2 linked regions of the Alligator mississippiensis genome follow. The protein of the gene in region 2 interacts with the protein of the main gene of each other region in a pairwise test. Links are inferred from orthologs where the notes say so. Each region holds a gene or a part of one and is shown on either strand. Other genes may lie near its edges. The genes, in order: FXYD3 and CREB3L1.

Evidence for each region.
Region 1: the proteins of CREB3L1 (region 2) and FXYD3 interact in binary tests that used the Homo sapiens proteins (3 or more experiments, as listed by UniProt). The two-hybrid records come from large-scale screens. The link is inferred for Alligator mississippiensis from reciprocal best matches to the Homo sapiens genes CREB3L1 and FXYD3.

Annotation. Positions count from the first base shown.
Region 1 is NC_081838.1:28,359,568-28,375,896, forward strand, and holds FXYD3 (FXYD domain-containing ion transport regulator 3), read left to right. Parts: upstream 1-9,900; 5' UTR 9,901-9,978; intron 9,979-11,045; 5' UTR 11,046-11,053; coding exon 11,054-11,084; intron 11,085-11,169; coding exon 11,170-11,208; intron 11,209-11,540; coding exon 11,541-11,564; intron 11,565-12,009; coding exon 12,010-12,084; intron 12,085-12,249; coding exon 12,250-12,277; intron 12,278-12,363; coding exon 12,364-12,401; intron 12,402-12,500; coding exon 12,501-12,517; 3' UTR 12,518-12,576; downstream 12,577-16,329. Other genes in the region: IgGFc-binding protein-like, read left to right, coding at 1,148-1,746, 4,139-4,711; leucine-rich repeat LGI family member 4, read right to left, coding at 14,463-14,768, 15,689-16,287. UniProt on the Homo sapiens protein: Associates with and regulates the activity of the sodium/potassium-transporting ATPase (NKA) which transports Na(+) out of the cell and K(+) into the cell.
Region 2 is NC_081825.1:226,887,907-226,903,328, reverse strand, and holds the start of CREB3L1 (cyclic AMP-responsive element-binding protein 3-like protein 1), read right to left. Parts: upstream 6,860-15,422; 5' UTR 6,672-6,859; coding exon 6,564-6,671; intron 1-6,563.

The sequences.
Region 1 (16,329 bases), on a different chromosome or scaffold from region 2:
AGTTCGAGTGGCCAAGGTCTGGAACGGGCTCCCAAGGGAGGTGGTGCTCTCCCCTACCCTGGGGGTCTTCAAGAGGAGGTTAGACGAGTATCTAGCTGGGGTCATCTAGACGCAGCACTCTTTCCTGCTTATGCAGGGGGTCGGACTTGATGATCTATTGAGGTCCCTTCCGACCCTAACATCTATGAATCTATGAGACCCTTCGTTAGCAAGCTCAAGCTCCAACATGTCCGATAAATGCAGGGGGATGCAGAGATACTGGGTCATGGATGTCTTGCCTAGTGGTTAAGCCACTGGGAGAAGGCAGGAGCCAACCATGGACCCCATCGGTGGGACAGGAATCTGGGATCAAGTTACTGGATCCAAAGGGAAACCCAGAGGCAAAGGCCAGATACAGAGTCTCAAGCTGGGTTTGGCTTCAGGCAGCACCTCTGTACCCTGCTGGAATCCATCATCTATCCCCACCACCAGTTACCCCACCCTGCAGCCCCCGCAAGGGTATGATGTGGTGCCCAGGCTGGACCCAACCCGACCCGCCTGACGTGCTGCACGGGGTACTGTGAGATCCTTCCAAGGATGTCATGGGCATTAGAGCAATCGGCTGTGCAAATTTCCACCCACTATTCACCACATCAACCCAGACATTTCCAATAGGAATCCAAAAGGTCCAAACCCTTCTCCTCAAATTGGGCCTTTTGAGGGCTTTGCAATGGGAGAATTGCTCTTGGATTTTTCCACAGGCAAGAAACAAGTGAAAGGGAAGAGCTAGGATTTTCAGCGATGGGTCTGGAGTGTAATGGGGGGTGGGAGGGGTCTTGATTGTAACAAGGGGATCTGGAGGCCAACGAAGGGGTCTAACCCCCTCCGTGTCTCAGCCACAGCTGCTCTGTTCCCCCTGCTCCCAACAGCCCCTACAAGTATTACAGACAGCCTGAGAGGCGGCAGCAGCACGTGGCTGAGACAACAATCCTGCCTTGAGCAGGGGGCTGGACCAGATGTAGCTTCCTGAGGTCTCCCCCAGCCCTGTTTTCCCATGATTCCTTGCTTCTACATCAAACACAGAGCAGTTTGAGACCATTGGTGCAGCGAATGAGTGAAAACAGAGTTCCTTTAGCATGTCTAACCCCTGCCCCCCCATCTCTTCCAGAGCTGCTCTGCCCCCCGCACAGCCACTACAAGCTTTGTGGCCCATCCTGCCCAGCCTCCTGTGCCAGCCCGGTGGAGCCCCAGCCCTGCCCCACGCCATGTGCTGAAGGCTGCCAGTGTGATGCAGGGCTGGTGCTGAGTGGCACCACGTGTGTGAGCCCAGAGCAATGTGGCTGCACCCACAATGGCCGCTACTATCTACCTGGAGAGCAGTTCTGGGAAGGCGAGCGGTGCCAGCAGCGGTGCCAGTGCCAGGGCTCGTCCCACATGGTTCAGTGCTCCAATGCCACCTGTGCCTCGGGGGAGATCTGCAGCATGCATGAGGGATTTCTGGGCTGTCACGTGCCCCCTCCTGGCATCTGCTGGGCAGCCGGGCTGCCCCACTACTACACCTTTGACGGGCGGCTCTACGATCTACATGGCACTTGCAGTTACATCTTTGCCGAGGCCTGTGGGGTCTCCCCAGCAGCGCCCTACTTCCGCGTGGACGTGAGGCACAAGCACCAGCCCCAGGACCCTGTGGCCGGGCTATCGGAGGTGTCCGTCTTGGTGAATGGAGTCCACATCCATCTATGGAGAGGACAGCCTGGCACCGTGGAGGTAACTCTATGGGGTGAACACTCCCAGGGGAAGTCCCTGAGCTTTTGTCTCCGGAGAGCCAGAAACATCCTGTCCTCTCATCATTGGGTCATTGGCATGATATGAGTGGGAAAATACCATATTTATTCATCTACCACACGGTTTTCCCCCCAAAACCAGCCCTCCAAAATTGAGCAGGCATGTCCTAAACAGGAAAAACCGAATCTCTTTGCTGGAATGGAAGCATGGAGACACTGGGCTACAGTGGCTGCAGAATTGGCAGTAGCTGCCCATTTTGTGGTGGCTTTAAAAGGGTTCATGCTAATCTTTTTTGGCCTGAAACAGGCCGCGTAGGGCCAGCCAGTTGCTGGATGTGGTTGGCCGCACCTGTGGGAGGATCTTTTATTTATTTGTAGTCTGCCTTCCGAAAAACAAGATGAAAATCCAGCGTTCAGGGATATTATGAGCAAAAAACCAGAAAAATGAGTTTCCCATTCAATGTAAGATCTCTCCAACCTCGATACCAATGTCCCTCGGGCAGCGATTCTGAACTGGGTGTTGCTCCTCCCTGGGGGATGCCGTGAGATCCTTTGAAGGGTACCACAGGCACTTAGCACTATCATTTGTGCAGACTCCTACCCGTGATTCACCAGATCAACCCAGAGTTTTCCAGTAGCAGTCCAGGGAGTCTGAACCCTCCTGGGGCCTTTTAACAGGAGAATCCCACTAGGATTTTTCCATAGGCAAGAAAGCAGTGAAAGTGAAGAGCTGGGATTTTCAGAAGGGGCCCTGGAGTCTAACAAGGGGAGGCCTGGCATCAAAAATAGCTGAGAAGCACTGCTCTCTAGGTCCACCACCTTGGAGACAGATTTGTGTACTGAGCTGCATTGCCCATGCCCATCTGACTCTCTCCCAGAGCTACAGCATAATTAAGTCTTCTCTAGGCTTTGGGAATCTCCCTTCTCCCGCATTCAGGGCCTGGGATTAGGCTCCAACTCTCCATGAAGGCGGTGTGGGCCTGGCATGGGCTTCAGGAGGGGGCGGGCATTGTGTGGAGAGGAGTTGGAGTCATTGCCAACACCTCCTGAAGTCAGCAGCGGAGGGGCCGGGGAGGCTCTGCCAGGCTGAGAACATTGATTCACTCAGCAGGAAACATTGAGAGAACTTGGGTTTAGAAAACTTGAGATTAATTGGGGGAAAAAAAAAAACTAGGGTAAAGGAGCTGCATCATCTGGACCTTGGTGCTGGCCAGTCAGGGACCCCTCAATGCTTGCTGCATCCAGCGCCTGTGGTGCCCACTCTGGAGCAGGCACCACATATAACATGGGTTCTGGAGCAGGCATCGCGGTCCCAGACTGGCTGGAGTGAACCGCAGGCACTGGATCTGGCATGTCCAATCCGCACTGTTCATCCAGCCCACAGACCAGTCCTGGTCATCCCTACTCTGTGGCTTGGCTAAAATATCCAACAGCTTCCAAAAGAAGGTAGGAGAGAGGCCGGGATTCCTTAGGTTGAGACCTTGTATTGGACTAGTGTCATCACCTGGGAAAGAGTTAATGACCCGTGTCATCGCCTGGGACCGAGCTAGTGACTGGAATTGTAGCCTGAGACAGAGCTAGCAACCAGCGGCATCACCCAGGACACAGCTAGCAACTGGCATCATAGCCCAGGACAGAGCTAGGAACCAGCACTGTTGCCCAGGGCAGAGCTAGCAACCAGAGGCATCACCCGGGACAGAGCTGACGCCCAGCGCTGTTGTCCGGGGCAGAGCTAGTGACCAGTGTCATAGCCCAAGACAGGGCTAGCAACTGCTGTCATAGCCTGGGACAGAGCTAGCAACCAGTGTCATAGCCTGGGACAGAGCTAGCAACTGGCAGCTTCTCCTGGGACAGAGCTAGTGACCAGCATTGAGGGTGGGGACAGAACTAGCAACTGGTGTTGTAGCCACATACAGAGCTAGCGAGCAGAGTCATAGCTGAGGACAGAGCTAGCGACTGGTGTCATCACTTGGGACAGAGCTAGCAACTGGCAGCATCGCCCAGGACAGAGCTAGTGACCAGCAGAGTCGTAGTCGGGGATAGCAGGGGGTGAGAGAGATTCTCAGGGGCAGCAGACACCCAAATAGCAGACACACAATTACATGTGCTTGTTGAGTGTCTGCCTCCCACTCAAGATTTTCCCACACCCCCTCCCTTCAGCTGGTGTTCACCATGCCGGGCCCGGCTTGCAGGGATCAGAGACCTGATGAAGCACATCTCTCATTCAAAATCTTGGCTAACTTAATCTCAGCTCCCCAGTTGGTGCCATAAAAGTGGTCACCCTACCTCTGATGGTCCCATCCAGCCCCGCTTCCCTACAACTCTCCGCCCTGGCCCGGTTATGACTCCCTGGTGCTGTCCTCTCTCCCCCGCAGGTGGATGGTGTGGCCCAGCCCTTGCCCCTGCACCTGCCAGCCGCAGGTGTCAAGGTCCATGCAAATGGGCTGCTTGTGGCACTGAGCACGGGTTTTGGACTGCAGCTCCGCTCCGACCTAGCCCATGGCCTGGAGCTCATCCTGCCCCCAGCCTTCCGCAGCCACACCTGCGGGCTCTGCGGGAACTTCAACGGGACCCCTGATGACGACGACCTGCTGCCGGATGACTCCCAGGCACCCGATGCCTCCAGCTTGGCTGCGGGCTGGAAGGTGGCATCAGTGCCTGGCTGCACTGATGGCTGCCTGGAGGTGTGCCCGGGCTGTGCCCAGGATGCTAGGCTGGTGGCAGCAAAGTCCCAGTGCTGGGTGCTCCAGGACCCCGATGGGCCCTTCTCCATGTGCCATGCCCAGCTGGACCCCAGCCCCTACATGTTGGCCTGTGTCTTCGATGTGTGCGTGTCTGGCGGGGACACGCGTGTGCTGTGCCCTTCCATTCAGACCTATGCCTCTGCCTGCCAGCGGGCAAATGCCAGCATCTCCCCATGGAGAAACAACTCCTTCTGTGGTAAGTAGACCCCTCATTACCTCTGAGCTCCTTCCACCAGAGATAATCCCTGGTTTGTCACCCTCTCCATCCCTCCCAGTCCAATTCCCACCAGTATTGCACCCAGGTCTGGTCCCCACACCTCCCAAAGGCTAGACCCTCAATACTGGAGGAAGAACAAAACCCAAGAGAGAGGAACAAAACCCAGCTCAGAGCCAGCTCACTCTCCCTTCTGGCCTCTGCTGTCTGCTGACATGTGACCCAGGAGATGGGGCAAGACAGATCTAAGGTCTGATTCAGTCAGTGGCAATTTTTAGAGTAGTTTTCCCCTAAGCACTCTTAAAAAATACCTAACAGAGGTGCAGAGCCCTTTGGATGGCTAATGTGGGTATTCACATGCTTTTGTTTCATCACCGTCATCTTTCGTGGACCCCTTAGACATAGTCTGCAGACCCTCCAGGGGGTCCACAGACCACAGGTTGGAAACCACGGTTCTGAAAGAAAGTCTGTGGGGATTTATTACCAACTGTGTCCCATGATACAAGAATGAGGGGTCACAGTGCAAGGCAGGGCACGACTCCTGCATTGTGTGGTGGCAGAGAGCAAAGGCCAGAAAGGAGAGGGAGCTGAGTTTTGTTCCTCTCTGGGCTCATTTACACAAGATGCATTTAAGGCACATTAGCCTAAATTTAAGGTGCATTAGGGCATGCATCTACATGCGCGTGCCGTTAATGCGCTTTAAAAATGGTGTAGGTACACAGGTATCAAATATAGGTGCAATTAGTTAAGATGCGATTAGTTACGGCACATTAATGCTGTGTGTGCCGACTGACTTGGGACTAACTTGAGTCCCATGTTGGTCCACACACAGAGTTAATGCATGTGTAGACGCATGCCTAAGCCTGCTTAATGCACATTAAGCTAATGTGCATTACATTTAAGTGTGCTTATTTGCACATGTAGACACACTCTTTCTTGTAGCCCCCAGCATTGAGGGTCTAGGTCTCTAAGAAGTCCTGATTCAGGGACCAGGACCCTTGCTGCCATGCTCAATAACAAGCAGGAATAGTGTCCTTGTCCCCGGATAAGCAGATCCTCTGTTTGTAGCCTAAGGGTCCTCTTTTTTCTTGGTACCCACATGGGAGATGCCCCCATCCCAGCACTTGGACTCAGTCTCTTTGCTTCTTCCTGTCTTTCCTTTCCCCGCATCCTGAATTCACCCCCATTCCTTCCACTGGTGCTGTTTTGGGGGCTCTAGATCCTACCTCTGGGTCCTGGCTTATCTCAGTCCCATTGAGTGGTCACCCGTGAGTAGAACGCTGGTGGTCCGGTTGTCTAATCTGAGCTCAGGATGGTGCTGGGGTTCTTGACTGGCTTTGTCCTCCCCACAGCCCCCAGGTGTCCAGCCCACAGCCACTACCAGCCCTGTGCAGACCCCTGCCATGCAGCCTGCCCCCATGCCACCTTGTGCCCATCACCATGCATGGAGAGCTGTGTATGCGATGCTGGGTTTCGGCGTCACGGCACCAGCTGCGTTCCTACGGAGGAGATCCCAGAGCCCACCCATGGGCCCCAAGTCAGTGTCATGGCATGGCCTACCATGCGTGTCATCGACCGGCCGGGGCGGACCTAGAACCTGCAGATGATGTGGAACACAGCACACGTGGATAAAAGGAAACTGAAAGCTTTGCTACACTGCTTGGGATGAAAGGCTGGACGATTCGGTTTCAGGGGGAAACAGAAACAACTGGACCTCTACTGGATGGTGCATGACTTGGCTAGAGGAGAGGCATTGGCACAGCACAGTCCTCATCCCCAGTCTGGGCTGCAGCCAGCACCCAGGGCTTCCAGGGGAGGCCTCCAAACCCCCTGACATGGAGCAGCAAGGGTGGAAGCAATTCCCTCCTGGCTTCAGGAAAATCAGAAGGTTCCCGTTTGATTCTTGCTCTGTGCCTCACATGTTGGTGCCTTGTCCAGGGGAGTTGTGCACTCTCCAACACTGGAGGGGGTTCAAGGAGAGGCTGGACATACACTGGTTGGGGATGATCTGGGTGGAGCTAGGCCTATGCCTAAAGGGAGTTGTGCATTCTCCATCATCTCCTTGAACTTGAGGGTTCAAGGAGAGGCTGGACATGCACTGAGATCATCTAGGCATTGTGATGCCTGTGCTCTGCTATGGGGATGTTCCAGGCTTCTGGGCTTTGCTTGTTGCCCCCTTAGCCCCATTTTCTGCTCCATGTGTCAGGTGGTTTTTAAGCCTCCCCCAGAGACTCTGGGTGCTGGCTGCAGCTCGGGCTGGGGATGGGGACTGGGCTGTGTGAGAATGCTCCTGCTGGGACCAACTCTGCAGGCTCCTGACTAGAGGGTCTTGCCCTCTGCTCAGGCTCAGACCGATGCCATATCTGGGGTCAGGAAGGGATTTATCCCCTGGTCAGATTGGTACAGACTTGGGGGGGGGGGGGGGGTTGCCTTCCTCTGTAGCAGGGGCATGGCCTCTACCTGGGGTCCCTGGAGTGTCTTTTAACAACCTTCTACAGCAGCAGGACTTTGGTGGCTGCGGTCCCCCTGCTTTCCCTGGGGCAGGTTCGGATGCAATAAATATCTGGGGTCGTGTCAGGGTTGGCAGTAGTTTTACAAAGAGGTTTGATGCTGGATGTGTCTGGGGTGATTTGGACAGAGCTGAGCCTCAGGCAGAGGTTGGACTGGATGTGACCTCTGGAGGTCCCTTCCAGCCATACATATAGGACTCTGTGCCTCTATATGACCTCTGGAGGTCCCCTTCACCCTGACATCACTATGACCCCATAATGATGACTATGACCTCCAGAGGCCCCTTTCACTCTGACTTCGCTATGATTCCCTATTACAAAATAATCACAAGCTGCTCTTTCTTTTGTTCTCTCCTTCCAATTAAAAGTACTCATGAAACAGCATCTGGCCTTCTTGAGCCCTGGGCGGTGCTTCCAGTGGACACTATTTTCCTCACCATGTGGATGTTCCCCCAGGTTAATCTTTCCACACCTGAGTGGGTGTGTTTTAGCTAGAGTTAAATCCAGTCCAGAGGGCCAGGGGCTGGAGAGGAGGAGCTACATTAAGAGACAGCAGAATTGCACCAGAAGAGCAGCCTGACTAGCAGAAGGTTGGGGCCATTCAAAAGGAGAGAGAGTCCTTTAACAGCTGGGCAGTGAAGACATCAGGAGGAATTGTGGGGGCAATATTAAGCCATGATAGATTCTTGCCTGGATAGAAATGCTACTGCCTCTCCCAGGCAGTTGGTTTTGGAGTCCAGTAGGGTAGGTATCAAAGGGGGGGGGGGCAACTGGGACCCAGGGGCAGGTTCTGGGGGTCCCTGAAGCTGAGAGCATTTCTCCCTCTTTTCTCACCCCCGACACACAGGCTGTAACAGCCGGCAGCTTTTGTGCCTGGTGGGGCGGGGCAAGGGGGTAAGAGCCCCGATTTGGAGGTCCCTGGGGCAGGAGCAGAAGTTGCAATGGGACATGAGTTCAAACCCCACCATAGACCCCAGGCAGTGCTTTGCCCCATAATGCAAAGGAAGGTGATGTGGCACTCCCACCTACTTTGCGGCCCTGCCAGAGCCACCTCCCTCCCCCAACTTCTTGCCCAGCCTTGGGTGCTGGGTTTGAGTCCCGGCATTGGCCTGCCCTGGCCCACTGAGGCAACAAAGACTCCAACCCCCGTGGCAACCACAGCCCGTGGAAACTGACCTGGAGGATGTCTCCTGGGCCAGGACCTGGAGCCACGATCCTGACAGGGTTGGCTGCACATCTGGAGCTCACCTGGGCAGGTACCAGGAGCCGTTGGCTGGGTTCGGGGGTTACAGAGGAGCTGCTCTGAAAGCAGCGAGTGGCTGAAGGTGCTGGGTGGAGATAGCTGGGAGTCCAGGGTGCGTGTCTCCCTGCTTGGAGTGAGGGGCATTGGCAGAGCTGGGGGCACAGGGACAAGTGGCTGCAGGTTGGGAGTGAGGGGTACCAGAGCTCCCTCAAGGGCCCTGGGGGAAGCCCTGAGCTCTGCTGGCTCCAGCTGTGACACCATCACAGGGTACGAGGGGGCCTGGGAGCCTGGATGCCTGGGTTCTCGCCCAGCTGTGCAGGGGGGGAAGGGGAGGGGCCCATTTGCTCCACCCCAGAGCCAGCTGCATGTTCCTCCTCCCACACATGCTGCCTCCAACCCTCCCCTCCCCCCCAGGGAACCCAGGCATCCAGGCTCCCAGCCCCACCCGTGCCCTGACCCAGGCCCCATCCAGGGGGCAGCCAGCGGGGACAGGGAGGAGGGAGGCAGAACCCAGGCGTCAGGGCAGCCCCCATCCCCCTCCCACGGCCTTTGGCTCCTGCAGCCTCAGCTGGATCCAAGCCTCAAAGCCGCCTTGTTCCCTGGCCAGCACCGGACAATGGGCCTCTGTGCGGCCGGTGCCCCCCACTCCCAACCCCCAGCTCTGCCGGTGCCCCTTACTCCCGACCTACAACCCCTCTACTCCCTGGTGCCCCTCACTCCTGACCCGCAGCCCCCCAGCCCTTCTAGTGCCCCTCACTCGACCCACAACCCCCTGCCTGCCCAGTGCCCCTCACTCCCAACCCACAGCCCCCCCACTTATACCCATGGTGTCCCTCACTCCTGACCCGCAGCTGTTTTCTGGCCCTGGCGGGGGGGCATTGAGCTGGCACTAGCTCCACATTCCTGCCTGGGCTCCTTTGTGCCTCCCTGGGCGCTGGCACCAACCCCCCAACCCCCGCTGCAGCTCCCAGCCCTGGGCATTGGCGGGCGGGGGAGGGGGGGGCACAGACTGACTGGCGGCAGCCTCTAAACAGCTGCCCGGGCCAAGATGTAGCCAGCTACAAAGGCCCTGCTCCGGGCCAGGCTCCTGCAAAGCCGGAGGGAACCCATGATGTCTGGGCTCCCAGCCCCTCTGTTCCCACCCCACTCCCACACCCCAGACAACCCAGGCATCTGGGCTCCCAGTGCCCCCTGCCCATGCTGTCACTGGGGCCTACTGGGAGCCCAGTGACTGCCTCTTCTCACCTTATCGCTGGCGGTGCCAGGCTGCAGCCAGGCCCCGATCCCAGCCCAAGATGGTGCCAGGCAGGGATGGGGAGAGCAGAGAACCCAGGCACGCAGGCTCCCAGCCCCCACACCTGCTCTCACCCCTAGGCCCCACTCCCCTCCCAGAGCTGGAGGGAACCCAGGCGTCTGGCCCAGCCCCGCTGCCCGGCCCCGCCCTCACCTGCCCAGGTAGCTTCAGCCTCGTCTCGGCTCCAGGTGCAGCTCCCTTGTCTCTGGGGTGAGTTTGGGGGTGGGGGGGCAGAAGCATGAAACCCCCCCTCCCCTGAACCCTCTCCTCCAGGCTGTGGGACCCAGGGGATGGGGGCCCGGACACCTGGGTTCTCTTCACAGCCAAGCCAGGCCCTGCCGGGGTGCTCGGCCACCATGTGCCTCAGTTTCCCCATGTGTGGAGCAGGGGGACCAGGCCTGGGCCTGGATGGAGGGGGGCAAGTACCATCCCCTGTGCTTGACCCTGCTGCCCCCCTGCACAGCTGGAGAGAACCCAGGCATCTGGGCTCCTGGACCCCCCTGCTCTCACCCCCCAGGCCCCCCTGCCCCCACTCTCCCAGAGAACCCCGGTTCGGGCCCCAGCCCCCCCCAGAGAACCCAGGTGTCCGGGCTCCCAGCCCCCAACCCCTGCTCTGACCCTCCCCAGACCCAACTCTCCTCCCAGAGCTGGAGAGAACCCAGGTGTCCGGGCTCCCAGCCTCGCCTGCCCTGATCCCCCAGCTCCTACTCCTCTCCCAAAGAACCCAGATGTCCAGCCGGCCGGCCAGCCTCCCAGAGCAGGAGAGAACCCAGGGCCCGGCTGCCTCACCCCACAGCAGCCGGGAGCCGCCCCAGCCAGGAATCCAGCCCCGGGCTCCCGCCAGCCAGTGACTCAGCCATGCCCCCCCCCCAGGGTGGAGGGGTAAAACAGGCCCCAGACACCTGGGTTCCCTGGCTGAACTAGGCCCTGAGAAGGAACCCGGGCATCCGGGCTCCCAGCCCCCCTGCTCTCAACCCAGCCCCTCGTGCTACCCCAGAGAACCCAGGCGCCCAGGCCCCCAGCCCCCACTCCCCTCCTGGGAGCTCCCAGACACCTGGGTCCCCTTGAGGGGAGGAACCCGGGCATTCGGGCCCCCAGCTCCCCCTGCTCTTGCTCCCAGCCCCTCATGCTACCCCAGAGAACCCAGGCATCCGGGCCGTCCACCCCCCAGCTCTCCCCCCCAAGCCCCCACTCCCCTCCTGGGAGTGCCCAGATGCCTGGGTCCCCTCGAGGTAGGGAACCCAGGCGTCTGGGCAGTGACGGTGCGTCTCCCCCAGGCCCCAAGATGCTGCCCGGGCTCCAGGTGCTGCTGGCAGGTGAGTGCCCCTCCCAGTCCCCCCCTCCCCCAGGATCAGGCCCACCTGGCCCCTGGGGGCAGCTCACAACCCTTCCCCCCCACAGGGCTCTGCCTTCTTGCCCCCCTGGTCTCCGCCCAGGCAGGTGAGTTAACCCTTCGCACCCCAGCCCTGCCTCCCCCAAGGGAAAGGGCCAGGTTGAACTCCAATGGGGGTGGGAAGGGGCAGCGGGGGAGGGAGGGGGAGAAGAAGCTGGGGGGGGCATTGGATTAGAAGGGGCTGAGCAACCCAGGTGTCCGGGCTCCCAGAACCCCCTGCTCTCAGCCCCCAGCCCTCACTGCCCTCCTGGAGAACCCAGGCATCCAGGGTCCTGGCCCCCACCCCCTCTCGTCCCCCAGCCCCCCCATCTACAGTGGGGTTGGAAGACGCGTCCAGGCAGTGTAACCCCTGACCCTCTCTCTCTTCCCCCAACCCCAGATGGGAATGACCCCTTCCACTACGGTGAGTATGAGGGGTGACAGGGCGGGGCTAGGGCAGAGGGGGAGGAGCTAATGGGGATGGGGCTGAGACAGAAGGAGAGGCCTAAGGGCTGGGATTAGGGCAGAGGGGGAGGAGCTAATGGGGGAGAGGGAGAGCTGGGGCAGAGAGGATGGGGCCTAAGGGCTGGGGACATGGCTAAAATAGAGAGGGAGGGGCTATTGGGACTGGGGGCTGGGCTGGGGCAGAGGGGGTGGGGCTAATGGGGCAGAGATGGGGGCTGGGGCAAAGGGGGCAGGGCCTAGGACCTGGGGGTGGTGCTTAGGTTAGTGGGGGTGGGGCCAGGATGGAGGGGGGTGGCTTCCAGGGTGAGTTTGGGCCTGTGGGCAGGGTATGGGAGGCAAGAGGCGGGGCTGGGGGCAGCAGTGGGCAGGGCCAGCTGTGACCCTGCCCCCTGCCCCACCCCCAGACTGGCACCGTCTGCGCATGGGAGGCCTGGTGGTGGCGGCCGTGCTCTGCGTCATGGGTATCGTGGTGCTGCTGAGTGAGTGGGCAAGCCCAGGCCAGTGGGCGGGGCTGGCTGGGGTTCCATCGGGCAGGGCCGGGATAAGGGGCGGGGCCTGCTGCATTCCCAGGAGTTCCCGGGGGCAGGGTGGGCAGGGCTGGGGACAGGGCTTTCCTCTGTCTGACCCACCCCTTTGCCTCCTAGGTGGGAAGTGCAAGTGCCGCCGTGCCAGGTAGGAGCAGGGGGTGTGGCTTGGGGGGAGGGTGGGGCATGTCCTGGATGCTGACCTTCCCCTGTTTTCTTTCCCCCCCCTTGCAGCCGCCGCCCCCCAGAGACCTCCAAGCTTCTGGTGCCAGGTGAGGCCCCGCCCCCTGCCCCACCCCGCAGGGGTCAAGGGGGAGGTCAGGGGTGGCTGCCCCCCTCACCCTTTCCCCTCTCCTTCTCTCCCGCTGCAGGAGCTGCCAGTGCATGATGCCCCTGGAGACCTCCTTGTCCCGCCCCCCACGTAATAAACGGCTGCCCTGAGGTCAAGCGTGCCGGGATGCCTGGTTCTGTGGGACAGGAGGGTGGACTGCCGGGGAGAGGAGGAGGAGCCAGGAGCCCAGCCACCTGGGCTGTGTGGGGGGCCAGTGGGTGAGAGCCGGGGGCGCCGGGAGCCCAGGTGCACATTGGTTGCGCCATACATGTAATGTCTGCCAGGACCATCCCAGTGCTTTGCATTGGGCATATTTACATAGCGCGGGGGGGGGGCAGCTAGTGACATCACGCAAGAATTGGTGCAACGAATAGTGAAAAAATTGGGAGAAAAAAGGCAAAATTGGGCAAAAAAAAAAAATCCCAAGATAAGCCAGGAGCCCCCAAAATGTCTGTGAGAAGCAGCAGGAAAATTTCCCTGTGTCAAGCTCCCCATTTTGGGCTGAAATTCACAAAATTGGGGAAAAAATCCTAAATGTTATTGTGGGAAGGCTGGAAATTGAAGGGAGGAGGGGCAGAGAGAGGAGATGAGGACTCTGCTGGGGGGAAATGGAAAAAAAATGGGGGGGAGGCCATTGTTGATCAAATCAATGAAGCCAGATATGCATATTTTTCGCCAAAAAATAAGTAACCCCTCCACCCCACATTTTTGTTCTAAATAGCCTTTTATTTCACTCAATTATGTGTGGTTTTTTAACCAAAAATTGCATGGTTTTGGTTAAAAGATCAGGCCATAGACCAAAAATGTGTGTTTTTTGGCCCCAAATGCACATTTAATGTTAAAAAAAATAAGGCCAAAACAGCACAATTTTGGATAAAAGGACAAAAAAAAATCACATTATATCTTTGGTCAAAAACAAGGCCAAAACCTGCACATTTGTGATCAAAAAGTAAAGCCAAAAAATGAACATTTGTGGTCTTAATATCCTTATTTTTAGATCAAAATGAGTGTTTTTGGCCAAAAAATGCAGTTTTATTTAAAAAAAAAAAAAGCCAAAATGGTACAATTTTGGTAATAAGGCCAGAAAAGCATTTTTGGGGTCAAAAATAAGGACAAAAAAATTGATTTTTAGTAAAAGATGAGTAAGGTAAAAATGCACATTTGTGATAAAAAAATAGGGGCAAAAATGCAAACTTTTAGTAAAAAAGGCCAAAAATACACATTTTGATTCAAAACAATTATGTGGGGGTTTTTGAGGGGGGCAAGAAAAGAGCAAGATTGGTTAAAATACCCTCAGGAAAAGAGCTCATAGCCAGATCCCTGGAAATAAAATGGAAGAAGGAAATTCGGTTGAAAAGAGCCAAATTCAGTTAAAACAGAAAAGGCCAAAGAGCAAACCCAAGTAGAAAATGAACATTTTTGGTTTAATTGAAATACAGCCAGTTGAAGCGTTACAAAAAAAAAGCTAAGAGAAAATGGGTTTAAATCCAGGAATTTCCCCCAAAAGGGTTGAAAATGCCCTAAAATTATTTGGGGGCCGGGGGGGCTGATGAAGCCTCCTCTTTTGCCACCCCCTCCCGCCCCATGACAGGGTGTGGTATTACCCCACCTGCTGCCCTCTGGAGCCCAGGGCAGGTCCTTCTTGCCACTCTCCTGCCCCCGAGTGGCTGTGGCAGGGTATTACAGCCCCTCTCTTGCCCCCTGGTGGCTGTGGTGGGTATTTTGCAGCTGCCGACCTGCCCCCTGATGGTCGTGGTGGGTATTACAGCCCCCGACCTGCCCCCTGATGGCCGTGGCGGGTACTACGTCCCCCAACCTGCCTCCTCCCAGCCATGGCAGGGTACTATGGCCCCCAACCTGCTCCCTGGTACTACAGCCCCTGATCTGCCCCCCAGTGGCTGTGGTGGGGTACTACATCCCCTGACCTGCCTGCTGGTGACCGTGAGGAGTATTACAGCCCCTGACCTGCCCCCCAGTGGCTGTGGCAGGTCCCGCTCCGGGCTTAGGCGCTGAGGTCCACGAGGACGTGGCGGTAAATCTGGGAGTTGCCTGTGAAGCTGGAGATGAGGACGAAGTGATGGGGGCCGACGGGCACGGGTGCCAGGGCACGGGGTGCAGGTGGCGCCAGCTCCTGGCCAGGCACGAACTGTCCAGCACTCGGGTCGAAGCGGTATAGGCGGCTGTAGGCCACATCGCTGCCCAGCAGGGCATAGAGGCGCCCGCCCAGCACCAGTGGCTGGAAGAGTAGCGACCCTCGTGCCGGAACGGCCTGGACCTCACGAAACAGCGACCCCTCCCAGCGCAGCACCTGGCAGGCACACAGCGTGCATGGTGCTGGGGGCGGGGTTAGCGATAAGAAACATGGGCTGGGGGCAAGGGGTGGGACTATGGGAAATGGGGGGTTGGGGTGAGACTATGGATAGGGGGCAGGGGTCTGGTGGGGCTATGAATGGGCTGGGGTTTGGAGGGTCTGGGGGTGGGGCTGTGGGAAACAAATGGGGGTCTGGGGATGGGGTTATGAACATGGACAGGATCTGGGGCCGCAGCTACGGATAAGAGCAAGGTCTGGGGTGGGGCTACAGGTAGGTCCAAAGGCTTGGGTAGAGTCAGGGTTTGGGTGTCTGGAGGCGGGGCTAGTGGTAGGGGTGGGGCCTGGGTGTCTGAGGGCGGGCTATGGGCAGGGGAAGGGGTCTGGAGGTGGGGCTACAGGCAGGGCCATGGTCTGGGGGGTTGGGGGTGGGGCTATAACTAGGGGTGGGGGGTTGCTGTCTGAGGGCGCGGCTACAGATAGGGGTAGGTTGGACTAGGGGTGGGGTCTGGGAAGTAGAGGTCCAGGCTAGAGGAAGAGGGAGGGGGGTCTACGAGTCTTGGGGGTGGGGCTACAACTAGGGGCAGAGCCTGGGATTCCCAAGGGGGCGGGTCTATGACTAGGAGCAGAGTCTGGGAGCCCAGGGGAGGCTAGTCTATGGCCAGGGCCAGGATCTGAGGGGCCTGGGGGGCACAACTACCACTAGGGGGCATGGCCTAGGAGGCCTAGGGGGCAGGGCTACAGCTGGGGTGTGGCTTGGGTACCCTAGGGAGGCGGGGCTACAACTGGAGAGGTGGCTTGGGACTACAAGTGGCGAGCGGGCGGGCTCCAGGAGCCCAAAGGGTGGAGCTCCCCCTAGGGGGGCATGGCCTGGGAGCCCCCAGGGGCGGAGCTCCCCCTGGGGAGGCGGGGCCTCTCACCTTGGCATCGCCCATGTAGCGGCTGAGGCAGACATAGAGCTGCCCGGGGCTGCCGGGGGGCTGGAAGTGGCGCACGGCATAGACGTCCTCAGGCGCCGGGATGTCAGTGAGGCGGCGCAGCTGAGCGCCAGCACCTGTCCCAGCCCAGCGATACACGACTGGGCGCCGCGCCCCGGCTGCCACAATCAGGCCCGGCTGCCCACCAAGCTCCAGCGCCTCCACATCTGTGTCCCGGTGCCAAGCGGGCAGGGCTTGGTGGGGGTAGAAGCCCCCGCCCCGGCCCCGGCTCCGATCCCAGCGGTACACGGTGCTGGCCCCGGCCTTGGAGCTGTCAGCCACGGCCACGAACCAGGCCGGCCCCACACGAAAGGCCTCCACATCGTGGGGCCGCCGCAGATCCCCACCCAGAGCCTGCAGCCGCACGAAGCGGGCCCCGGGGGGTGCCCCCGGCCCTGCTCCCTCCTCCTCGGGCGCCGCTTCTTCCTCTGCTGGCTCTGCCCCCTCCAGCTTCCAGACGTGGGAGCCACCGCGCAGCTGTGCCACCACTACCACCAGGCGGCGCCCCAGCACCAGCGGCTTGCACGCCACCGGCGATGTGGCTGTGGGGGGAGAACGGGCATCAGAAGAGTCCCTGGAGCTTG
Region 2 (15,422 bases):
CTAGATTTTCTATTGGCTTGCCCATGTCTCTTGCTATACCATGCTAAATTAACTAGCCAAAAGCATGAAATGAAATGAACTTTACCAGTAGGATAGTAGTGAATTATAACACTTTGGATATGTGCCAGAGTGCAGGACTGGCATCATCCCCAGAGCAAGCTGTGTACTTATCATAACAGCTGGCACCCCTTCCAGTCAGTAGTAAGGGGTGAGAAATTGATGAGAATTTCTGGCTGAGCTTTTAACTCTATCTGTGTGCTGGGGAAGCTTGGGCAGTGCAGGGTGATACTTGTCCCAGTGCCAAGCACAAACACAGGGCCTATGCACTATTTATGTCTTTCAAATGTGGCAAATTTCACATGTGCCACAGGTGGCATGGGCAGCCTCTGTGTGGAGCATGTGGCAGACCAGGGAGGGAGCAGGCAACACAGCAGCAGATGGGACAGGGAGCAGAAAGCAGAGCATCAAATCAGGAAGGAAGCACAGAGCAGGGAGCAGAAAGCAGAGAAGCAGATTGTACAAGAACACAGGACAGGGAACAGAAAGCAGAGCCACTGACTGGGCAGGAAAAGGGGACGGGAGTAGCACTCACAGACAGTGTGGAACTAATCTGTGGCATGCCTGCCAAAGAGGCTGGCCTGTCACTAGCTTAATAAATGTAAATGGTACATAGGCCTTCTGCTGGCTGTCTACATGGAGGTGATTTTATCCACAAGTAACTAAGCTACATTCATCTTCTCTGAAGAAAACCTCTTCACAGGTCGTTTTGGGACTGTTTTTAGGGCAGCTCAGCTTAATGCATACAATTTGCTATATAGCTCAGATTTGGGGGGTGGGAGGAGTTGGTGGCCATCATTACCAGATTACATAATAAAATACAGTAGCACACAGTATGTTAACATCATAGAATGAACATAAAACAGCAAAAAATGGAACTGACTTGTACAAAACTACTTGAGGAACAGTAAAAAAAATATACATGGCTCTTTTCCCATTCCAATAAAGCATACTCTTTATCAAACAATACCAGCTGCCACATTGTTGTACTTGATTTGTTCATACAATTAAAGACTGCAGTGTAGCGCTTAAGCTCATGGAGCCGAGTTAAGGTTACTGTCAAAATCTCAAACCCTCAATATCCAGCTGTTGTCAAAGAAAATCTCAACTGGCAAATAGCTGGTTTTGCATTTAGTTTCTTTTTCAATGTTAAAGAAAGCATGGGTTTCAAAAAGCACCCTACCTGCTTTATCTGCTTTAACTGAATGTTCACCCCCCTGAAACAATCTTCAAAGATATACTTCATGGTGTCCAAAAAAAGAAAAAAAGTTTGTATTGGCTCAAAAAGAAGCATGAGCATCCTATTTCCTGTTTCAGTTGTTCTTTCTGGCTGCCTCATGACACAAGAGTGTCATAAAGCTACTGAAGCATATTGGTGAATCCACCTCAAAATATAACCATTTCTGAGAGTTATGAGACACTGATAAGAAGGGCTGAGAGAGCATGAAAGAACTCTCTGACTGTCACTGTAATAAAAACAGAGAGTGAATGAATGCACTCTGTCAAAAATAATTAAAACTGCCAAAGCCTTGGTTGGACAATGCAGAATACAGCCAGGTAAAAATCAATAAGTAAACATTGCTTTAAGGATTAGTCTAATTTATGAGGAGCCCTTTCTAGTAAAAAGCTTAACAAAGTCCTTGAAGTTTAAAAGCAGCAGGCTGCATACTGAGCTAAAGTAGAATCTGATTTTATGGTCAGTAGAAACTATATCTGAGGCTTGTTAGCCACAGCATGTCGAACAAAAGGAGCATTTTCCATAGACATCATTTTCTGCTTGAGATCATTTATCCACATGCTAGGTAGACATGGCACTTCATCAAGCTTCGCAGTTGCCTAATAATGGGTAGGTGAGCAAGGCACAATCCCCAGGTGCTGCCCAAGTGGGGGGCACCAGAATGAATCCAGGGGGCACCTCACCCCCCTGTCTCCCATCTCCCTCCTCCTGCACCTTCCATGCAGTGGCTCCACATCTGGCAGTCAGGAGGGCAGAGAAGCAATGATAGAGTTGGTTGCACCTGGGTGCTGGTAGCAGCCAGTGCAGGGACAGCAGCCAGCAGAAACAGGGTGATATGGAGGAGAGGTATCGGAGAGGGTTAAGCCTCTTGCCACTTTTTTTTTTTTTTTTTTTTTTTTTTTGCTGCCAAAAATTAGTATCCAATGGCTGATCTACACACAGTTTAGCAGCAAAAAAGGAGGTGATACCTTTCCCCACAGCAGCAAACCTCCAGTTGCTTCCCCTGAACTGTTTACTGCCACAGCCTGTGCCACAGAACTTGGCAAGTTCCACCTCTGAAGTTGTCTGCTCTATGTATTAGACACACTTAAACCAGTATTGTTCAAGTATTCTCTTACAAGCAGCCAGACCCTCTTCAGTCACATTTATTTATACATTCCTGGATGCACCTATTCATGTGTTGCCACAATTTCAGTTTGTTTCCACCTTAGATTACAGGTGTTAGTAACAACTGCTTAAGGGACAAGAGAATTAATAAAGAAAAGTTACCATTTAAAGAAAGGCCTTTTATTTAGCACAACCTCTTTACAGGGAAAAATCAGACATGGTTAGAAGCCATAAAAATTATGAGGTTTCAAAATCTGTTTTGATCCGGCATTGAATGAAAAAAAATCCAGAGCTTTCACAAATTTTCATAAGGAAATGGAAAGGGAGAGGAAGACAGACCACAACCCCCAGAATAACCAGTTGCCCAACAGTTTGGCACTTATTCAAGGCGTGGGAGACCCAGCTTCACAGTCCTTGTTCTGTCTAAGTCAATGCAGGAGATACAATTTTTCCCTGCATCTCAGGTAAGTGCTATAACTTACCAGACTTAAGAATGAGTCTCTCTAGGCTAGTGGTTCACAACTTTGTGGGCTCAAGTCACCCCTCATTAAACTCACAGCACCCCTAGAAAAATGCCATATCTTAGCTTTCACTCATTTTTGACTGTGGAAAGAACTCAGAAAGAGCACAAGTCAAAATATTCATGACACTGGGGATTCCTACTTGAAATCTCTGGGTTTATCTTGTAAAATGTGTTGGTGTTTGCACACCTAACAGTGCTAGTATTGTGTGGCACTCCTTGGCACCCTGCTCTAGGCTGTAAAGAAAATGGGCTCCCTCTTTCTGTCTCCACCTCAAACTCTCCCTTGCTCTGATTTTGACCAAAAGTTCCATCCCAGACCTGAGAAAGCTTCCTGACAAAAATTCTGTTGAACTGATATGTTTTTGTGAAAACTCTTAGCTTCAAGGAATCAACAGTTTATGAAGCAAGAACATTTCATCAAAAATACCTGACCAGCTCTAGGAAACACATTTGCTGCACAATGCCCAGAAGGTCTCCATGACAAACCTGAGGCCTTCCTGAACTGAGGTCATTGGTAGCTCTGAGAATTACCATACAAACAGCACTTTGAAATTCAGTGCAGCCCTTCAAAGAGCAACTATGGAAAAATAAGATCTTCCTAACAGAGCTCCTTCTCACAAAGACAGTAAGGCTTACTGGTTTTACTAATTGACATACAAATGTATTCCTTTTTCCTCTTGTTCTGTATATAAAACCAATAAAAAGCACTGGGATATATTCTGGTGCACATAGCCTCAATTAATTTGCTAGCTACATTAAGATGGCCAGTTCTTTATTGTTGATCATGCACAAGAAGAAAAAGCTCAGTTTACGCTCAGATGCCAGGGGGAGTTTTTGTGCTGGCAGTTAGAATTGAGTTTACTTTATTTATGAAGTTTGCTCAAAAGATCCAGAGTCAATGAGAAATAATAGGAGTTGAAACCCATCACTGCTTTCATAATTGCATTCAGAATAGAAATGCAATTTAAATCAGACAGGAAAACATCATACTGCACAAAGAAGACACATTTTAAAGATACAGTCAGGTAGCTGTCACCAGGTGGTGCTGTTACATAGTCTTCCAAGTTCCCTTTTTAGGGTTTGTCTACACCTAAAAGTTGTACCACTTCTCCTGTACCAGTGGAGCTAACCATACCTGTACCATTAAAATAGTATGACTCACGTGGTCAAAGTTATATGGTATGAAGAATCTTCTATTAGCACAGATTATCCTTATATAGGAAAGGGAATAAGCCATGCTGGTATGAGATGCTTATACACTAGTGTAACTGTACACCACAGTAGGGTTTTTACCAGTAAAACTATTTATGGAAAATAGTTACACTTTTAAGCAAAATGTCCATGTTGTCCATGTTCTGCGTGGTACACTGGAGGGCCTGTGTTTATGTGTGTGATCCACTAGAAGTACCCTGTATGTGTGTGTAAACATCTACCAAGTGTCACGTGAGTATGTATACTAGGCCTTGGTGAGAAACAGTTCACTCTTGATAAGACCTCATGTCTAGTATGAGGTTCTGGGATCTGTGTGAACACAAGGAGATCACTTTGCTGCCTGTGTGAGTCTCTGGAGTCAGTTCTTGAGACTGTACTGCACCCTGCACATGGGACATTGGTGCTGAAATGACTGAAAAGGGGGAATTACCTGCACATAGTTTATGACATTCTCTGTTCCAGGGCTGGTATAAATTTAAAAACTTATATTTAGAAGTTACCCAGACCCTGCATCACTGATTTCTGCTCCATAGGAATGGCAGTCTGAAAGGTTCCTGAAGCCTGTCACTGTCAGCAGAAGGGCAGCAATATTCACACTGTTATTTTAAAACCAACCATCCTCGCACAAGGTGAAGCTCACGTTCCTCATTCAGAACAGCAAACATCCTTGCCTGAAGTTGTAAAGTAGCCCTACTGTCCATGTGAATGCACAAACTCTCTGGACAATCTTCTTTAAGGTAAGCATACACAATACAGTGATGCCCTGGGATTATTTGATATTAACAGAACAGATATTCTTCCCAGTTCACTATTCATCCACTCCCTTCTCTAAAGTAAATCCCCTGTGCATGAAGGCCACTCCAAAAACATCACTTTACAAACAAGCTATAAGCAACTGAAAGCAGAGGTTTCATCAAGAAGGGCCTCCTGCCCCCTACAGTCTCGCCAGTGCTGTGAGAGTCAAGAGTTGAGCCAAGAAGCAAATTGCCACAACAGGTTGTGGAATCTCCCTGAGACTTGGCACCTTGTTAGGAGATCTGGTTTAAAAAATGCAATAAGTCCTGCCAAGGGGCTGCTGATCCAGGGGGTCTCCTCACTCCCTGCATGTGAGTGCCTATGCATGCCAGCACCTTTGTATAGCATCTGCTGGAGGTCTTCAGGATCTGTGGGTGTGCACATGCGTGCTCCACAGAAAATTGTGCCTGGCATGCACTACAGGAGGTCCACTGAGAGTGTGTGAGATCTCCTGGAGGCTGTGTAGATCCACTCGGAGGCCCTGCCTAATGTGTGGGATCTGCTTGAAGGTCCTCCTGTGAGTGTGAGGGTGATCCACTGACAGGTGTGTGGGTGTGAGACCCCTCCTGTGTGTATGTGACCAGTGAGTGTGGGCAACCTGGGTGTGTGACCTCTGTGTGTGTGTGAGACCACAGAGTGTGTGTGTGACCTGTGTGATCAGTGAGTATATGTGACCTGGGAGCCTGTGTCACCAGGGAGAGTGTGTGTGTGTGTGTGTGTGATCTGTCTGTGTATGACCAGTGTGTGTGTGTGTGCGTGACCTGCAAGTGTGTGAACAGTGAGTGTGCATGTGTGTGTGGGTGTGTGTGTGAGACCAGGGCATTATGTGACCAGGGAGTGCATGTGTGAGTATGACACCAGGGAATGTGTGTGAACAGGGAGTGAGTGAGTGTGTGTGTGCGTGTGTGACACCAGGAAGTGTGTGTGAGAGAGACACCAAAGAATGTGTGTGAACAGGGAGTGTGTGTGTGTGTGTGTGTGTGACACCAAGGAATGTGTGTGAGTAGGGAGTGTGTGTGTGTCACCAGGGAGTGTGTGTGTGTGTGTGTGTGTGTGAGAGAGAGAGACACCAGGGAATGTGTGTGAACAGGGAGTGTGTGTGTGTGTGTGTGTGTGTGTGTGTGTGTGTGAGACACCAAGGAATGTGTGTGAGTAGGGAGTGTGTGTGTGTGTCACCAGGGAGTGTGTGTGTGTGTGTGTGTGTGAGAGACAGAGAGACACCAGGGAATGTGTGTGAACAGGGAGTGTGTGTGTGTGTGTGAGTGAGACACCAGGGAGTGTGTGTGTGTGTGTGTGTGTGTGTGAGAGAGAGAGAGAGACACCAGGGAATTTGTGTGAACAGGGAGTGTGTGTGTGTGTGTGTGTGTGTGTGTGTGTGTGTGTGTGTGTGTGAGAGAGAGAAAGACACCAGGGAATGTGTGAACAGGGAGAGAGAGAGAGAGAGAGAGAGAGAGTGTGTGTGTGTGTGTGTGTGTGTGTGTGTGCGCGCGCGCAGTGGTGCCCCGGGCCGCCTCCGGCCCCTTCCCGTCCCGCTCCTCCGCCCGGTCCCGCGGCGCCGGGAGCGTGGGCCGCCAGCAGCCGAAGCAGCCCCGAGGGCAGCGCAGCTCCCTCCCCCGGCCGGCCCTCCCTTACCACACTGCCGAGGAAATCCGCCTCGTTGAGGTCGCCCAGGTCCAGGAAGCCGGAGCCGGCGCCGGGGAAGAGGCGCTCGGCGGGGAAGGGCTCCAGGAGCCCGTCCATGGTGCCGGGCGCGGGGCAGGGCAGGACAGGGCAGAGCAGCAGCGCCCGGGGCTCAGAGCCGCGCCGCCCGCCGCAGCGGGGCCCGGAGCTGCGGGCGGAGCGGGGCCCGGCTGCCTCGGCGCTGCTCCATGGGGCAGGGCAGGCACCGGCTCCGCGCCCGCTGTCACCGCCGCTCGCCGCGGCTCCCGGCCCGCGGCACGCCCCGCTCCCGGCCCCGGGGCGGTGCCTCCCCGCCCTGCCCCGCTGATGCAATCCCGGCCCCGGCTCGGGGCGGCAGGTCGCCTCAGGGGCCGCCTCTTTCCTTCCCCCTGGGGGGGCTCCGACCTATCTCCGCAGCAAGCAGGTCACACACACACACACTCACTGGTCACACACTCATCCCTCCCCCTGCACCCTGCCCTGCTCAGGGTTGTCTCCCCCCGTCTCCAAGTTGGCCCATGAATGGCTTCACTGCTGCTGAACCAGCCAGCAGCCATGTGAAAGCCTTTCCACAGGCTAGGAGAGGTGACGCCAAAGTCCCCTGTACCATGCTGATATTTCCGAGGAAGCTTTAGGGAGGCCAGGTGCAAAGGTGCTGGGGTTAACAACCTGAGGAGCCTTTCAGTCATGGTCATGGAAATGGCAGTGCCTACCTGCCCCTGGAGAGGTGATATTGTGTCTCTCCTAGGAGAGGCAGCACCTTCCACACCAGGAGAGGGCCCTGGGCTCCCTTTGAGTCTGAGATAGGTTGGTGATGCTGAATCACAGAATTATAGAAAATTAGGATTGGAAGGGATCTCAGGAGGTCATCTAGTGCAACCCCCTGCTCAAAGCAGAACCATCCTCAACTAGATCATCCCAGTTAAAGCTTTGTCTAGCCAGGTCCTAAAAACCTCCAAGGATGGAGCATCTACCACCGCTGTGTAACCTTTTCCAGTGTTTTACTACCCTGCTAGTGAGAAAATTCTTCCTAATATCTAACCTAAACTTCCCTTGCTACAACTTGAGACCATTGCTCCTTGTTCTGTCATCTAGCTCCATCTTCTTTCGAACCCCCCTTCAGGTAGTTGAAGGCTGCTATTAAATCCTCCTCAGGCTCCTCTTCTCTAGACTAAACAAGCCCAGTTCCCTCAGCCTCTCCTCAGAAGTAATGTCCACCAGCCTCCTTGCTATTTTTGTTGACCTCTGCTGGACTCTCTCCAATGTGTCCACATCCTTTCTGTAGTGGGGGACCCAAAACTGAACCCAGTATTCCAGATGTGGTTTCACCTGTGCTAAATAGAGGGAAATCACTTTCCTGGACCTACTAGCAACACTCCTACCAATGCAGCCCAGTATGCCATTAGCCTTCATGGCAACAAGGGCACACTGCTAGCTTATATTTAGCTTACTGTTCAGGACCCCCAGGTCCTTTTCTGCAGAGCTGCTGCCCAGCCAGTTGCCCCCAGCCTGTACTGGTGCATGGGATTGTTCTGTCCTAAGTGCAAGACTTTGCACTTGTCCTTGTTGAATCTCATGAGATTCCTTTTGGCCCAGTCCTCCAACTTGTCTAGGTCACCGATCCCTGCAGCACAACAACCCCCACAGCTGTCCCAGCTGTGGGTAGAAGGCAAGCTCAGCAAGAGTGTCACCTACTGAATTCCCAGCACAGATCCCTGCAGTCTCTACAACATAGGAAGCTGATTCTCTGGGAGAAAGACTGAAATTAGATGATGCCCTATTATGATTTCAGATTGACAAACTGAAAAGTGAACCATTCCTTTGGCAGGTCCAGCGCTGACACCACTAGCTGTCGACAGAGCTACAGTGACTCTCTGTGTAAGGACTAAGGCAACCATAGCAAGAAGAGCCAAAAAAAAAAGATTAATCTTTAGAGAGTTCAGTTTTTACATGAAATGGAAAGCATGCAGATGATACTGCATGAAGATGATACTGTCAGCTACCTCCTAAGAGTCAGCGCAGGTGGCAGCAGTCCATCTGGCTGCTCTGTAATTAAAGACTCAGGCATCATTTAAGAGCTCCAGGAAGATTATATAGCTTCAAAAATAGGATTATGGATCCCTCCCCTCTCTGATCCTTGCTCTGGTGAACTCTCAGAAAAACCACTTATAATAATCCTCTCATGATGATCTATCTGCCCTCATAGCTCAGCACAGTGACCTAAGGAGTCTTGACTCCCACAGGGCTCTCCCTGGATTCCTGTGATAGGGAAATGAAGCATGAAGATAAGGTTGTCTCCCAAAGGAAACCTGGCTGGTGGCTTCTAATGGCAAGAGTTATCTAAAGAGATGAACTGATCAGATGAGGAAATGTATTATGGTGATACTTGGGAGGCTGTTTGATTCAGACCTGGGGGATTCCACACACAACTAAAGATTCACATGTGTACTCTTCTTCACACCCTATTTAGGCCTCAGGACAATAGTTCAGCTCTTATTCCACCTGTTAGGAATCTAAGCAACACTGAGGCATCTAAGCGAGCCTGTTCTGTCCTGCTTGAGTCCCAGAAAAGCCAGTACATCTACTTTTGTAACACACCACCCCCTTAGTCTTAAGACTAAGTCACAAAGAGTAGCAAAGAGGAGCCCATCTTCTGCATTAAAAGTCTTTCAAGAACCAGAGCAGGGTGGAATAGGATTGCACTTTGACATATATGTGTAAGTACTGTTTAGATGCATAATAGGTGGAATGGGAGCTAAGCCTAAGACTACAACTAGTAATCACCCTCTGATCAATCTGCTTGGCACTTATCAGACCAGCTGCAAGCCCACATCCCCAATGTAAAGGATGCCACTCTCTGCACACACAGATCTGATTCTCATTACTTTACATTAATTTATTCTTTGCTTATGCACACTGAGGTGTAAAGTAGCTGTTGTGTATATGAGAGTAGGGAAATAGACTCAGTTGGCACTGTGTGGGGTTGTAATTTCAGAGATGACTCAGCCTCTCATTCAACAAGGATGGATGGAATTAGGGACCTGCATTTTAAGGAGAGGAAAGAGGAGGAAGTTTGCAACACCTGTAGAAATACAGTTTCCAGTGTGGTGAAACACTGGGACCCAAAACAAAGCAAAACTTACACTACCCTAACATATAGTCCCTGCTACTAGAAGTGTCTCAGACTCAACTGTCTACAGCAGGAGAAACACAAACCAATATTACTAAAGGGTACTGGTGAGTGATGAGAGAGTCCCATTTTGGTGGTGTTAGAGCCTTGCTCATGCTATTTCCAAAAGGCCAGGAATCTTGGTGAGATACACAGCTTGTTCCCACTGTGTTCACTCTGCCTGCATTTAGGCGGAGAAAACATGCTTATCATAGGATTCTAACATTTCTGGGCAGAGCCCTAATTTTGTCAGCCTAGGAGCAGTGAATATCTTCCTTTAAGATGCTGAGAGAAGGAACTAAATAGAAATTCCCACAATGGGAACGGCAGATAAAAGGCATCCCCATCTCCCTCAGGAAGGAGAGCATAGACTCCTTTCCTCCCAGCTTCCAAGTCAAAAGTCTCTTTTCCTTCCTTCCTTCCTCTTGCCCCTAGGTTAAGGTTGTTCGGGATGAAGGTCCATCATTAGAACTAGATTGTGATGGCTGTACTGAGGCTGAAATAGCAGTGAGTGCTTCAGATGATGGCTGTAGTGAATTGGTAGAGCTATAACAGGGGACACTTACACAGTGCCTGCCCTCATTAGCCCAATACCAGTGCCTTTTTTACACATTCAAATTCATCCAATACTTTTTAAATTACTTTAAATAAAGAGTGTCTGGTTTAGCATCTCATCCAGACTACCCTAAGGAAAGCTCTTTTCAGGAGCTATGCTCTGATTACTCTTAGCACACAGCAGGTGAACTATGGGAGGGGTGTGAGGTAGAGCTACTGTTTGCACTAAGTAGGAGCAGTGTCATCAGAGAAGGTCAAGATTCATTTGTGTGTACTGTAAAGGAAAAGTACTTTGACACATGCAAACAGGGACTTACATGGACTCCATCCCAAAGGTTAAAAATATCTCAGAAAAAAATAAATCTCTGGCTCAAGGACACTGCTTTGTCTTACACATCTTTTCCAAAACATGTTTAAGCATAAATGTGTTGGTTTTTCATAATGATGCTGTGCATACACAGGTGACAGATGAAGACACTGACTTTTCCTTTCTAGTACTTGTGCTGCAATGCCATTATAAAACATTCTGGAAGAGAGCCAGGATAACCAAGACCCTCTACAGCACTTGCACAGGGGGGACACAACATTCTTTTCCTGCTGGGCTTGGGCCTACGCTTATTAAATTCAATGTAAGTGTTGCCACTGACTTCAGTGGCTGCGGGATCAGATCTTTAGCGCTTAATGGAGGAGCTGTTTCTGCAAACTGAGTTCAAACTGGTAGTCTTGTATTATAGAGGGACAAAGAGATTGCTGGGGAAGGAAAGAGGGTTGTTACATGGTAACAGAAACACTTGCTGTTATAATTGTTATCTTCCAGGGCTCCTAAGTCTTAGGTTTAAGCTTAGCCTTTATACTTACCTTTTCCCTCAGAGCTCATCCAAGAAGGCTGAATCTTTTGTTTAATAGGATAACAGATTGCTTTAAAACACACATACACACATCAGATGCTATTTTTCTGCCATATCTCATAGCTGCACAAGGATAGAGATAACACAGCCTCACATGGGTAAGATCAGATAACATACCAGAAGTGTCCCTTTATGGAAAATGATGCAGTTAACGGAGATTAGACTAACAGAAGGTTACTGATTAAAATGATTCTGAAAACCTATAGATTTTAACAGAGAATTAACTTCTTTCTATAGTTTATTGAACCATCCTACAGAGCTTTGAGAAGATTTGATGTTCTAATTTCATTGCACAGGACTTTTCCACAAGAGACGGTGCCCCTGGGTAGCAGGTTAAGTTCCCTAGAGTAGAACATCTCCATTCAAATTGCTGTAATGAAGGAGAGTTTTGACAAACTTATACCTTCCTTGACTTGCTGGCTATATTCCTAGAAGGTGCTGAAGGCATAAAACGTCCCTTTCCTTTAAATCTGTTTGTTCAAGGGCCCTAAGATGGACAGCAAAGAACATTCTGTTTAAACAAACACGAAACTGATGCCAGTGAATCTCTGCTAGCTTTTCATGATTGGTTCCATAACTATTTGTACAGTATCAGAAGCATTGCTGTTTACTGGAATAAGCAAAAGGGTTTTAAAAATAAAAGCACCCTAATCTTCCCTTATCTCTGTGGCTGAAAAACCAAATGGGCCTCATTCTCCTTTTTGTGTAGTCATTTGTACCCGTGGAAAGGGGATGTAAAATTATTTCAATATAGTAATGCGTTATACCTTTGTACTCACTCTGCACAGGGTGACAAGATGCATGGCAGTGGAGAATTGGATATGCATAAAGAAACCAGTCAGTTTTGGAAACACCTTTTCCATTTTATAGCTTAAAAAACTGAAGTTGTTTCCCCAAGGCTGTGGTAAGATGTTTAATAGGCCCAAGGAGGCTGACTGTTTCTTTAGGAATGTGGGGTGAATTGTAAATGTCTGTGTTCTTTGGTTTTCTGTGTATACATTGCTTTGTTACAGGAGGGACTGTTTGGATGGAGGTTTGCCTTCATTTTCAGCCCAGATGGCCATTTTTAGGATGATTCATGATGTTAGAACTGTTTGCTTTGGGGTTTGAAACATTTAAACTGGCTTTTGAGATTGCTACCATAGCATGAAGGTTTTGCTTCAAGTATGGCTGAAGATACCATTGACCTGTTTATTTCTCCAGCTTGGATGTTCATAATAACTAAACTGCTAGCTTCTATCTCACACTTTTTCACCCCTCCACTGAGTTTATAGAAGAAACACTTCCATTCGTACTCTGCATTATTGATATTTCTTGCTAATTGTCCTCCCTCCAGCTCACTCCCTTTCTTTTCTAAATATTACTTGCATTCTTCATTATTTGTTGACCCAGGAAAGTTTGCTCATTGCTGTGTAGAGCACATAAGGCAAATCACGCTGTAGGTGGCTCATGGAGTTTACAGTCTAACAACCCAACTGTTGTCCTCCTTTCTACCCCATGCAACCCCACTGAGAACAGGGCTGCTCAGGCATGAGCGTGGGCTGAATTTCCCCCTGGTTAGAAAAAGTGGCTGTGCAGTCCAAAGATGATCTCATACACATATTGGATGCTCCATATGCAGTACTTGAGGATCAAACTTTCATACAGCCATTTTTGTTCTGTTTTGTTTGTGAAATTGAGAAAGCATGAACAAGGCAGAATGGATGATGGGCAAATACTGAAAGGCCTTGCAGTATCTTTTGAGAAGGAATTTGAAGATATTTGGACCTTTCTTTCCCTTTTGTCCCTCAGCCCTGCCTCATCCAGGAAATCTGCCCAGCATTTGATTTTCTTCCAACTGATGGTTTGAATGCAAACTGTTTTTCCTTGCAGCTGGATTCAGCTGCTTTCTATTTCCTGCTTCCTTGTCCATTCTGGCCTCTGGACAACTACAGAGAACACCTGTTCACACCCCACTGTGGGGGGAAAGATCAAAGAATTCACCCATAGCTTACCTTTCTGCTAGGCCTAGGGGAATGAGGAAGAGCTATGAAATTACAGTGTTCATAAATCTCTTCCAGCACTTCAAACAGGAGACAAGTTATGTCCTGTGTGTCATTGTATGTGCAGATATGCAGAGTGGTGCTGTGGATGGCATTACTGACCTCATATGGTGTGCCACGGGTCTGTCAGTATATGTTTATGAAGTTGGTATCACTGAACTCATGCAGTGTGCTTGCAGTACAATGCACAGTCTCAGTATTCAGTGTGTGTTTGTGAAAATGTGTACACACAAACTATGTTTGCTCAGATCTGTAGGAAGTGCAGGGGGTAGTGAATAGCATATTAATTGCATTTTAACATGTGGCTGAGATCTATGAAGGCTGTGGTTTCAGTAAGCACCCAGATGCTCCTCAAAGAATGAAGGAAAAGCCACAAACGGATGTCTACACTGCATTTACTCTTTCTGAGGTGCACTTAGTGTCCTCAGACAGAACTAAATCAGCTTTTCAGAGACTGAATGAATCCAGAGAAGAGAGGGAATAAAGAATTATGGAAAGGCAATATTTTATAAAAGACATGTTTGGCTGCAAGATCCCAGAAATGTTCCTCCAAGATAGTTGCTGTGCTCTTGTAGAGATGATTGAACTGCCAATTTCTGCTCTTTGGTAGGTTGGAAAGTTAAACCTCAGCATGACTTATGGATAAATAAGCACTCAAGGGTGACCTATACAAGGAGAGAGGCAGTTTGTGATCTGCTTTGCTTCTTGACAGTGGATTAAGGATTTTTAGGTTTTTTTTGCTTTCTTCATAAAGAAAAGTTTTTCTTTCCTGGCTTTTTTTTACCTTAAAAATAGTAGATATTAGGTATTGTCTCCCCTACTTTTGTTAGAGATCTCCAAAGAGAACCATTAAACTGCATTAGGAACTTTCTGAACATGTCATTGAAGAGGACAGGGCCTTTACAAAGACATTGTTACTGTGGCAGTACTAGGCCCCAGGGGCAGCTGTAATACCCGGTGGTGATCACACAACTCCTGAGCCACTCTGGTTTCTCCAAGTCACCTCCCTTTTCCTCTCACCTGCTGCACCTTGATGGAATGATTTTATTGTGAAAGGGAAGCTGCCCCAGGGTCCCAGCCCTAGCCTGTTTTGTCCAGTGGGTCCCTCCTGTACCCAGCTGACCCCAGTCCTGCCCCTGAAACAATAAGTGGAGCCCTTATGGAGGCCACCAGCTGCCTTAGGGGCCATTGGTGGCCTCCTTCCTCCCCTGTAGCCATGCCTATGCTTCACAGATATCACTCTGTTCCCATTTACCTTCCTGTATATGCTTTGGCCTTCTTAGCCTTAGCCTACAGGTTACTCTGATAGTAGACTGGTAGCCAGTTGGCCTGGCCTTTCAGCCTTAGCCACTCATTGGCCTCTGGCCACCTGCTCTGGGCTGAGGCTCTGTCCCTCTCAGCCTCAGTCTGCTTCTGTCTCACATCCCTGTCTCTGACAGGGCTCAAAACCTGGGGTGCCCCTCAGGCACCCCTGTGACCTCCTTTATAGGTTTCATAGGCATTAGGGCTGGAAGGGACCTCGGAAGATCATCGAGTCCAGCCCCCCGCCCAAAGGGCAGGACGTCAGCTGGGGTCATAGGATCCCAGCAAGATAAGCATCCAGTTTCATCTTGAAGGTGTTCAATGAAAGCTCTTGAACAACCTCCGGTGGCAGGCTGTTCCAGACCTTGGGGGCTCGGACAGTAAAGAAATTCTTCCTTATGTCCAGCCTGAAACGATCTTGTAGTAGTTTGTGACCATTCGTCCTCGTCATCCCTTGGGGTGCTCTGGTGAACAAACGTTCCCCTAGATACTGGTGGTCACCCCTGATAAACTTGTAGGTGGCCATCAGATCACCCCTGAGCCCGCGCTTTTCCAGGCTAAAGAGCCCCAGGGCTCTCAGCCTGTCATTGTAGGGTCTGCTTCCCTGACCTCTGATCATGCGCGTGGCTCTTCTCTGGACTCTCTCAAGCTTCTCCACATCCTTTTTGAATTGTGGAGCCCAAAACTGGACGCAGTACTCCAGCTGCGGCCTCACTAAGGCCGAGTACAGGGGGAGAATGACGTCCCGGGATTTGCTTGAGAAGCATCTATGGATGCAAGCCAGCGTTTTGGTCGCTTTACTAGCCGCAGCATCGCATTGCAGGCTCATGTTCATCTTGTGGTCAATGATGACCCC